Caenorhabditis elegans: one gene and its partner. The protein of the gene in region 1 interacts with the protein of each later gene in a pairwise test. Each region holds a gene or a part of one and is shown on either strand. Other genes may lie near its edges.

Region 1 (5,420 bases):
GCTTATCAAATGATTCGAAATCAATGGTACAACCCTATGAACGGCACAATTATCCTCGCCAAATGCAATCCCGAGAACACAACTTGGAATATGGACTCAAGATTTATGGGTGAAAAAGAGGTCATTCTAGCCAGCCTTCGTGCATTCGAACGAGATGTTGCTCGGGAACAAGTGAGATCTGGCTCTAGGATAGATATGCTAATTTCACAGCCCGATAAACCGAAAAGGGAATCTCCGAACACTAGGGATGCGGATGGACGGCTGAAGAAGTACTTTTTCTGGTAGAACTTTTGTTGTGTTTAATAAATTATTTGGTTTCTATTTTCCTAGATGCACTTTTTTAAGTTCCAGATCTAATTGAAAAAAGGCAGTTTCCCCTATATTTCGCTGACTATGAGTATGGCCTCGAGCTGGCAACTGAGTAGCGTACGTCAGGGGATCTCCTCAACCGTGGTTTTTGGCCTAACAGGTCTTAGGCCTAATACTTGTAATCGTCTATTTTGCAAGAACTCAGGATAGTTTGAAAGGCTATGGCCTATGCTCGGCCTTAGTTTCAATATCATAGTAAAAACACTTTGATAGTATTTTCAAATACCTTTATTGAGTCGTACTGAGCCGGACGACAAGAGTATTGCTTTCGTCCGGCCAGCAAGTCAGGTCTTTCTCGACTGAAGAATCTTCTACTCGTGAGGGTGTGCCGCCATATGCTCTCTTGCCTCGTGTCTCTCGTCGTCACGCGCCCATAGACGCGCGACGGCAAGACCACATGACACTAGAATGAGAAGAGATCAAGGACCACTTCCACAATAGTTTATAATAGAAAAAGATACAGATGTAACCAAGCATGAAGTTTTACGAGATTACATGGTAGTATAATTTTCTATGAAAAAGTACAGTAGTTCGGTTTATCAATTTTTTTTAGATTCATTCATTTTTAAAGATGGAGTACTAAAAAAACTACCGACTTTTGTAGTGAGATGTTCTGAAAATTTCGCAAAAAAAAAGTTAGGTTGGTTCAAAATTTTGGGAAAAAAAGTGTTTAAAAGATCCAAAATTTTGACCATCATAGCATTTTGGAAAGAAATTTTCAGAACGTCCCATTTTTGGTATTTTTTGGCCAATTTGGTATCTCCACCTTTGAAGCAGCAGCCGACATCTAACGGGTCCCTCATATTAAATTTAACAGTCTGAAAAATTCGACTAACAACTGAATATTATAGCTACAGTATCATATGGTCTACTGTAACCATTCGGTAGTAGTGTAGAGTTACTTGTAGTTTTGTGCCCAGTTGATAGCAATAAAAGTATCGAATGGGTCTCGCCACGCAGATAGCGAGTTGTTAGTAACTCAGGGTGGCGAGACCTAGATATGAAATTGTTAGATGTAAAGTTATATGATTTCTCAGTGATCACCGACTTTCCGATACATTCTTCACCTCTGGTGTGCTTCTGCAAAACTTGAAATAACATTTTATGAGCCCCCGAGAAAAAACTCACAACAACGTTGATAAAAACACGGTAAGGCTCAGGAATAATCCATAGGCTTTTCTCAAAGTTCAATAAACTCAATTCAGGAGAATCCAGATCCTTCTGTTTGAACGGATGGCTATCGGAGAGAGGGGAGAGTGTGGAAGCTTGATGTAGATAATCATCTGCAAAAAAAAAGGAAGCTTGGAGGTGTGAATCAAAGCTTGGCCAAAACGGGCCACAAATCAATTCGGACTGAAATACTTAATATTCACCAAGGGTAGTGTAGTTGGTGCTACGGATTTGCGATCTACCGGGGTCAATATAAAAAGCACTATAGCTTTGAAGAACCCTACTTGGTCATCCTTTAATTTTTGAGCCATCGATATGCTCTACAACGCGCATTAGCTCAGTAAATTCAGTAAGTCAGTAAAAAAATGAGAAATTGCCAGATCCTAGCAAAAACGCTGTTGAAAGAAGTATTGTCAGGTGTGAAACAGAAAAATGCATATGAGCACAGTCCTGGAATACTTCAGGTAACAACTTTCTAAGATTCGGGGAACACTTCTTACCTAGAATGGCATAATACGCAAGCTGAAGCTTGGAAGAAAGCCTTGTCGCAATAAGAAATATAAACGGAACAAGACAACAAAACTGAGCCTCCACGGACAACGACCAGGTATGAGTGAAAATGTCGATAGCTTTGGCTAGCTGAAGTACTTAATTTTATCAAAAATTTCTCAGATTCACCAAGGGTAGTGTAGTTGGTGCTACGGATTTGCGATCTACCGGGGTCAATATAAAAAGGACTATAGCTTTGAAGAATCCTACTTGGTCATCCTTTAATTTTTGAGCCATCGATATGCTCTACAACGCGCATTAGCTCAGTAAATTGCAATCTGTCAAAGCTTAAGTAAACTGTCCGAATTGATTTGTGGTCCGTTTTGACCAAACTCTGTACACCGCCAAGTTTCCATTTTGCAGATGATTATCTACATAAAGCTTCCACACTCTCCCCTCTCTCCGATAGCCATCCGTTCAAACCGAAGGATCTGGATTCTCCTGTATTGAGTTTCTTGAACTATGAGAAAGGCACGTCGATTATTCCTGAGCTTTGTCGTAATTTGGTCATTTTGCTACTTTTTTATCAATGTTCCAGCTGATGTGAGTTGATTTTCCAGAGGGCTGAGAAAATGTTATTTCAAGTTTTGCAGAAGCACCCCAAACAGGAAGTATGCGTCTGTAAATCGGCGATCACTGGAAAATCATATAACTTTTGCTATAGAGACCCACAGAATCTGAATTCGATCGGGAAAAAGTTCAATTGCAGTCTGCTGAGTACTCTGGAAGATCTTGGTGAGCATGGGGCCATTTATCATATTTTTTACCATAAACTTTTGGAAGCCTGAAAAAGCCTAAAAAGGCTTGAAATTTACTGAGCTAGACATGCAAATCCTGGTTGTTATATTCAAATTTCTAAGGAGCTCTATACCTACCTTTCTAGATTTTTCAGGCTTTTTTAGGCCCGTTCAGGCCGTTCTCAGGCTCATGCAGGCCTATAGGTTTGTGTGTACTTATTCAAAAGATCTGAACGCATGGATTTCAAATTTCAACACGAAATAAGGAGATAATCAAAATTGAAACAAAATTGGGAAGTAGCTTGTAAATCCCGCTGCATTAAGAGATCAAACAATACATAGAAAAAGTCTTCGTGAACTTCGATTGACGTCTCATTTTTAGCGGAGATGGTTATCGACTAGGTATAGTTCTTGGTATAAGACACCCTAAATTTGAAAAAAAAACTCACGGAAAACTAGTGATGATTTTGAAGACGGATTGTCCTTTAATCCCTCCAATCCAGTACTATTTTTCAGGTATCATCTCTGATCATTCTCGCCTATCAAATGTCACGGATGTCCTCCGAAATCAGAGTAACGTAGTCTTTGCATCCTCCACTTCCGATGATCACATGCACCTCAGCCTGAAATCTTACAAATCAGTTCGAAGATTCCATCCACGCCACAAATACATCCTCTATGGCCTAAACATGAGTGAAGCCTTCATCGAGAAACTTCCGCAAAGAGATAAACATTTCGAGTTCCGAGTCTTCAACACTTCTCAGTACCCGAGCTTTGTGAACAACTGGCTCACCTACAACTTCAAGCCACTGCTCATGGCGCAGATGCTCAAGGAGTACAAAGCCGTATGGTGGATCGATGCGCATATTGAATTACTTAAGTCGAATATTTCGAGGAATCTACAAAAGGAGATAATTCTCAAGAGAAATAGTTCTTACTTCGCCTCCGTCGTATCCTTATCTGATACTAGTCATAGCAATTTTGCAGTTCTAAATCCAGCAGTCCTTACCTACTTTCCAACAAGCTCCATGAGGCTTCTTCAGCGCCAGAGACATGTCGCCGCCGGATTGATCTTCCTCCCAAGGACCAGATATACCATGCAATTATTTAAATGGTGGATCCTGTGCGCTCTTACAGAGGAGTGCATGAACCCGCCAGGATCTCGGCTGCGGTGTGTGTTCCGGCGGGATCGGTACAAGCATCCGGGGCATTGCTTCAGGTAAAGAATTTAAACCATCTTCTCTTTCAACTTTCTAGTAGTTTCAGATTTGACCAATCTGTTCTGAACCTTCTTCTGCTCAACGATTTCCAAGACTACCGGAGGTACTACTCGAAAAAGTTATCGGAATCGTTTTTGAGAATGGTTGATTGATTGTTTTTGATAATAAAGTTGAAGTGTTTATTTTCAGTGTTATCATTGGTTCACGGAAAGTAAGAGAGAAACAATTAAATTGTGCAAAAAAGTCATGATAAAGGCGGGACCTATTATCGATTTTTCTTGTGATTAGGTTCAACTCAATGAAAAAGGGGTACTTCCTCACAGGATTTACATTTTTTCGTGCCGACGAGCAGGTACTCCGACTTGCGGAAAAAGTTGTGTCCTCGCTTTAAATGCGTATAATTCCTTGAGTGGCAGGCGCGGTTCCGGGGCCTGGAGCCTGCCTCAAGCTAGTCTACCTCTTCGCCTCACTTGTGCATTCAAGCGTGAAATGAAAGGTTCGGTGTTTACACAACATAATGAGGAAGATAGTTCTTTTGCAGCGACTGACACTTTCCGGGTTCAATGCCGCACTACACAGAAGGTACTGCTCGGGGCGCAAGGCAGGCGCGGCAGGCTTTTCGGCACCTACATGGAATCCCTACTTGGAATAGCTTGTACCTTCTACATCATACTACGCAAAAGACACGGCTCGTGGCGTGAGGCAGGTGGCGATCGCCGCAAGGCAGGACCGACAAAGCATAAAACTGAAACTCTCCCATGGATCCGAATCGTTTCGTTGCCTCGTAGCTGATTTATATCTACAGATTCTCCTATTTTATTCAGTTAGAAAAAAAACCGTTTAAGATAGAAACTCGGATTCCGGGCTTTATCCCGACTCCTCATCGCCACACCATTTGGTCTTTAGAGGCTTGCTATTCACCTAAGCTGTTCACGGCTATTCATGTCGGAAGCATCTAAACCAAAGCGATTGGATTTGCAAGGGCTCCGAGGTCTTGCCATCTTGGCAGTACTCGGTTTTCATTTCTATCCTGCACAGTTTCCCAATGGATATCTTGGAGTTGATCAGTATGTGCACTTTTCTTTTTTATTTTGTTTATTTCCACTTTGAAATTTTACAGATTCTTTGTCCTATCCGGCTTCCTTATGTGCATGCTACTGAAGCGAGCTGAAAGTGATTCAACTTGTACTCTAATCACCTTGTTCTACTCGAAAAGGTTCAAGAGAATCCTTCCGCTTTACCTACTCATCATCCTGCTCTCCATGATCTCCCTCTACACAATCTTCCCAGACACCTCTATAGAAACCAACCAAAAATCTGCCACCCGTGCGATGCTCTTTGTGTCAAATGCTCCAACTTCAGCGCAAGATAACTA
Region 2 (5,260 bases), on another chromosome or scaffold:
GCTCAGCATAGTCAAAAACACCAGAATCTGTCAATCAAAGTATAATAGCTTGTACGGAAGTATTTTTTTAAAAATTGATAAAAATATATAAAAGCTGATTTTTTCAAAAATTCAAAAGTCCTGTAAAATCATATGGAGTCATTCTTTTTTATTTCATAAAACTATTCAGCATAGTCAAAAATACCAGAATCTGTCAATCAAAGTATAATAGCTTGTACGGAAGTATTTTTTTAAAAATTGATAAAAATATATAAAAGCTGATTTTTTCAAAAATTCAAAAGTCCTGTAAAATCATATGGAGTCATTCTTTTTTATTTCATAAAACTATTCAGCATAGTCAAAAACACCAGAATCTGTCAATCAAAGTATAATAGCTTGTACGGAAGTATTTTTTTAAAAATTGATAAAAATATATAAAAGCTGATTTTTTCAAAAATTCAAAAGTCCTGTAAAATCATATGGAGTCATTCTTTTTTATTTCATAAAACTCTTAAGCATAGTCAAAAATAGCAGCAAATGCCGAACAGAGTATAATAGCTTGTACGGGTGTTTTTTTTTAATTGATAAAAATATATAAAAGCTGATTTTCAAAAAAATTTTTCGGAAATTTGAAATGATTGAATAAAACAATCTAGCTGAAATTAATGTTTAACTAAAGTATTTTCCAAAAAATGTTAAATTGTTCCATCACCGATGTTAGATTTTCCAATAATTAAAAAAAAAATTTTTAGGTGCGACCCATCATTGGCTTTTTAGCGGGCCTTCACGTACATTTGGTTAATGTCTCGCTTTTAGCGCTTTACCTGTGCTGTCTAACACACAGAAGGTCGGTGGTTCGAGCCCGCCCGAGATCAGTCAAATGTTTTATTAAAGAAGAATGAAGTTCATTTTTTAACCGGCATGTTCGAAGATGCCGATTCGGTCACCTTGGTCTTCAGCGGCGGGAGCCAAACGAAAAGCTTCGAGTTCCATTCCGCCGGAATAAAAAATTCTTCAGTTGTGTTGTTGAATCCAACAGCCGGGTCCCTGAATTAGTTGAAGATTTTATCTTAATTTATTTAAAAACATACTTTTTGGTAACTTTCGCATCACTCTTCTTCTTCCCAACTTCTCCCGGCCCTTCTTCCTCTTTTAAAATGGGAGCCAACGCTTTTCCATTTTTCAGAGCTTCAATTCCTTCTACAAAGTATTTACGGACATCTCCACAAAGCAAGTATTGCGGTCGTTCGGCAGTTCTCATAACATTCTGCAATTAAAATAGAAGAAAAAAAATGTGAGGCAAATAACCAACTGCAAGCTGTCCCCGAACCATATTTTTGATTGGATCCGTATTCGGATACTCAACCAACAATCGAATCCATCCATTCGCCTCAAATCCTTCGCGAAATCGTTGACGATTATCTGCCAGAGTGTTGATTGGTTTATCATCAACAGCAATAATAGCTTCACCAATATTCAAACTACAATGTGAAACTGAATCCGGAATAGTGTAGTTGACCACCACTTTTCTGTCGACCTGCTGCACGTTCAGACCAAGCTGCAGGTATTTGAATTGGTAGAGAATGGCCAAATCGATGGTGTGATCCTGTGTGGCTAAGATACCTGAAATTATATGAAAATTACTGTTTCACAATAAGAAACAAATATTCAAACTTACCATTTGGAATCTTAGACGTAGACATTCTGTTCTTCAATCTAGCGACCAGAACCGTAATCTTTGTCTCAGATTTTGAGTTCAAAATCTTTCCGACAACAACCTTGAAGTCTGGATAAAGTGAATGTGGTGCTCTCACAGGTTCAGTTTTCCTTAATAAGGTAAATATTTTTCAAGTTTTCATAACATTTGTCCTTACGGTGTAGTCGTTGGCTTCCTCTTAACAGTCTTCACATTTGACTGGAGACTTGCTCCACCGGTGGTCTCGTCGACATGCTCTGTCAATTGTTTCTCATCGAATGAGACAGTCGTACCGTTCACTTGCAAGATGATGTCACCCGGTAGAATTGCTCCTTTGAATGGGCTCGCGTAATGAACACGAGTGACCAACCCATGTCGATTGACGAGTCCGAGTTGCTGGAAATCAAAAACGTTTTACATAAAGTCATTGATGATGTCGCTTACCGTTATTTTATCCTTCTTTGGGAGCTCAAATGTGGCCTCTACAAGCATTTTGTAGCTGTTTGGAACTGGTTCTCCACGCAGAATGACCACATCTTTGACTCGAGCTTCTATCTGAAATACGTGTTTCTAGAATAGAAATAACTTTTAAAATAAAATTATGTTTCACTACTAGTGTACCATTAAAAAAACCATTAAACCATTAAAAAAAAGAAAGTTTGATTCTATAATAAAATATTCTTTCGAACACCCCCGACTGCCTCAATTACTTAGTTCAAGAAATATTGTTCACAATGAAGAAAAATAAATTAATTATTAAAAAAATCTTGAATAAAGTTCAAAAATTATTATTCAAATTTCTCACTGTTTCGATTCCAAATCCAACTTCCAAATTCCAAAAAACCCCTCTCACCTCTCCCTTCTTGAATCCGGGCCGCTCCCAAACCGTGTCTATTCCCTCTGCACCTTCCGGATAGATTTTATATTTGACTGCAGGTGGAATTTCTTGTGGCATCTTTTCAAGCTATCAAATGCTTTGAATTGAATTTGTTTGATACTTGAATTATCGATTGTTGTGAAATAAATTAGAATCGAGAAGAACAATGATAAGAGGGGGTGGGGGGGAGGGAATAAAAAATTAGAGCAATTGATCGAACGTGAAGATAAAATATCAAAGGTCAGAATTATTAAATCTTTTTCAACGTGATTTTCTAACTTTTTTTTAGAACTGAACTTATTGAGAATGTTTTCGGCATAAAACTGCAAAATCGCGTGATTCAAAATCAATCATTTATGTTTTATGTTTTTTCTTGGGACACGATTCGTATGGAATCGTATTAAAATAAATAAATAAATAAATCGTTGAAACGTGTGAGTTTGAAAATTACTTACCAACGAAGCAAATTAAATTGTGAAATCCAAACTTTTTCACCAATTTCGAGAAACTATAGAATTTTTTAAAAACTGTTACTTTGTGTTACCTTTGTTAAAAAAAAGTAATAATAATGTCTTGAAACTGCATTTTTTTTTGAAATTTTTTTCTGCCACTGCTTGTTTAATTAAATTTTTATAGACACTGATATATTAATCAACAACAAGAATATGAACAATTATTTATTGAATATTTCAAAAATTACACGATTGGAATACATCATAAATTACCCATTTTGATATCAATCACATTATCAGCGATCACCAATTATATAATTACAGCAAATTGAAGAAAAAGAGCAAACAAAACCCAATTGAGAGCCTAAAACCGGTGCCTACAAGACGGGGAAGAATGTTTGAAAGAAAATCGGAAAATAAATGCAAAAAATGAATTTTAAAGGCGAGTGATTACGTCTGGTTGTTCTTCGACCTGTTGGAAAAATAAAATATTATATTTAGAAAAAATGTATCAAAAGTAAATTTATTGCAAAAAAAATGAATTAAAGTTGAAAACTAACAGAAAAAGGGTCAAAGCACAAAGGGTTCAAATGAAAGCACACACTGCACTGCACGAGATCAAAAAGTAGGTCAAAAGTGAATAAATTACAGTATTCCATAGGAGTACTGTATGTTGAATAGTTGTAATCTCAAAATGCATAAAAATTAATATTTAAAAAGAAAAAAATTAAGTTCTAACTATAATAAATAAGTAACACACAAACACAAGTACACACAAAATTAGATAATTTGAGCAAATTGAAACAAATAAGAATTCATTATGAAAATTATTTACAAACGCCAGATTTGGATAAAAAGCGGCAGAACCGGATGGAGCACAATTATACCTGAGTTTCCCGCGAATACACGTGGTTTCTATGGCTCCGTCCATCGCCACGGATTACTGTACCCTGCAGTGGTGATGGTTCCTTTGCATAGGCTGGACGGAAATCCGATGATTGAGACCTGTGAATAAATGGCACACAATAGAGTTACAATAGAAGTACGGTAAGTATATCAGAAGTGAAGCAACGTGCTTTAGAAGTGTGTAAAATTTTATGTGAAAACTTACCAGTCATCAGTATTTACATTCAATGTATGGGGTACATTCTGTGGACGTGTACCCATTGGAAGGTGCATTGCATTAATACTTGAAGCTCCTTGGCTGTCCTGAAATATATTATATTAGAAGGGCAAATGGATAATTTTTTGTAAAAACAAAACTGAAAAGTTAGCCCATAAGTATGTTACCCTTGAGATTTTAAAAATTACTGCTTCAAAGTTTTACTGCCTTCAAACAAAGTGAAAAAAAGTTTTGTTCGAAAAATTTAATGGAATGTTTCAACAACATTATAAATTAATAAATATGATTACTGTACAATTAGTAGTGGGACGTGAACTTATTTTGAGTTTGGTTATTCATGGCTAAAAGCATGAAAAATGTCTCGGATAATGCTAACATTTGAAAACAATTAAATTCTAAATGGAAATTTGTCTGTAACTGCACAAAGTTGCAAAAAGTTGAAAAAAAGTTATTTGAAATTTTCCGAAATTATTGTTTCAAAGATTTTTTAAAAATTGCTGATTATCTTTTATTCACTGGGAGTAGTAATTTCATTTTCTGTCTAGGTTTAAATTATCTAGGTTTCCGATTCTCATGCCAAAAAATTTTAAATTCACATTGAACTTACATCAGGCACACTAGAAATAAGCATCGGCTGCAAGTCATCAGAAGTCGGGTGAATTTTCGCATTCGAATTATTCTTTCCCCGTAGATTTTCCACATTTTTGAACAATTTTCCTTTGAGAATGAGTTCTCCGAATCCTTGTGAATGAGAGAATGCGTAACCACTTCTAAGTGATCCACGGACACTTCGTCGAGTTGCTGCCGTGCGTTTGAATGCGGTTCTGAAAGTATTTATTTAAAAAAATAAATTTAATGAAAATTTCAAAACGTTTAAACGATTTCTTGAATGATAGAAACTAAGTTTGAAATTGAATTATGTATGTGAGTACAATTTTTAATCACTATTTCATGCTATCTTCAAATATGGAGCTTCATCGAATAGTATAGTGCTATTGCGAATTGACCTGATCGCACATTAAAATTTTGAAAAGCGAACATACTTTTTATCATCTTTCGCCGATGGTTTCTTGCCCATTTTCTTTCGAATTCTCAGCCTATCAGCAAATGATGGATGTGTATCAAGCCAGAAG

What was found.
Region 2: the proteins of F41D3.9 (region 1) and mpz-4 interact in a two-hybrid assay, tested with the Caenorhabditis elegans proteins (one large-scale study listed by BioGRID).

The regions. Positions count from the first base shown.
Region 1 is NC_003279.8:12,271,758-12,277,177, reverse strand, and holds F41D3.9 (DUF1647 domain-containing protein), read left to right. Parts: upstream 1-1,989; 5' UTR 1,990-2,039; coding exon of another isoform or gene 2,040-2,179; intron 2,180-2,211; 5' UTR 2,212-2,404; intron 2,405-2,451; 5' UTR 2,452-2,550; coding exon 2,551-2,631; intron 2,632-2,681; coding exon 2,682-2,823; intron 2,824-3,341; coding exon 3,342-4,044; intron 4,045-4,091; coding exon 4,092-4,197; 3' UTR 4,198-4,229; downstream 4,230-5,420. Other genes in the region: F41D3.11 (Nucleotide-diphospho-sugar transferase domain-containing protein), read left to right, coding at 1-285; oac-25 (Acyl_transf_3 domain-containing protein), read left to right, coding at 4,988-5,112, 5,166-5,420.
Region 2 is NC_003282.8:4,824,636-4,829,895, forward strand, and holds mpz-4 (PDZ domain-containing protein), read right to left. Parts: upstream 2,686-5,260; 5' UTR 2,631-2,685; coding exon 2,529-2,630; intron 2,231-2,528; coding exon 2,120-2,230; intron 2,072-2,119; coding exon 1,854-2,071; intron 1,807-1,853; coding exon 1,658-1,806; intron 1,603-1,657; coding exon 1,292-1,602; intron 1,247-1,291; coding exon 1,071-1,246; intron 1,027-1,070; coding exon 885-1,026; 3' UTR 853-884; downstream 1-852. Other genes in the region: tat-2 (Phospholipid-transporting ATPase), read right to left, coding at 3,441-3,476, 3,892-4,009, 4,116-4,213, 4,735-4,951, 5,171-5,260.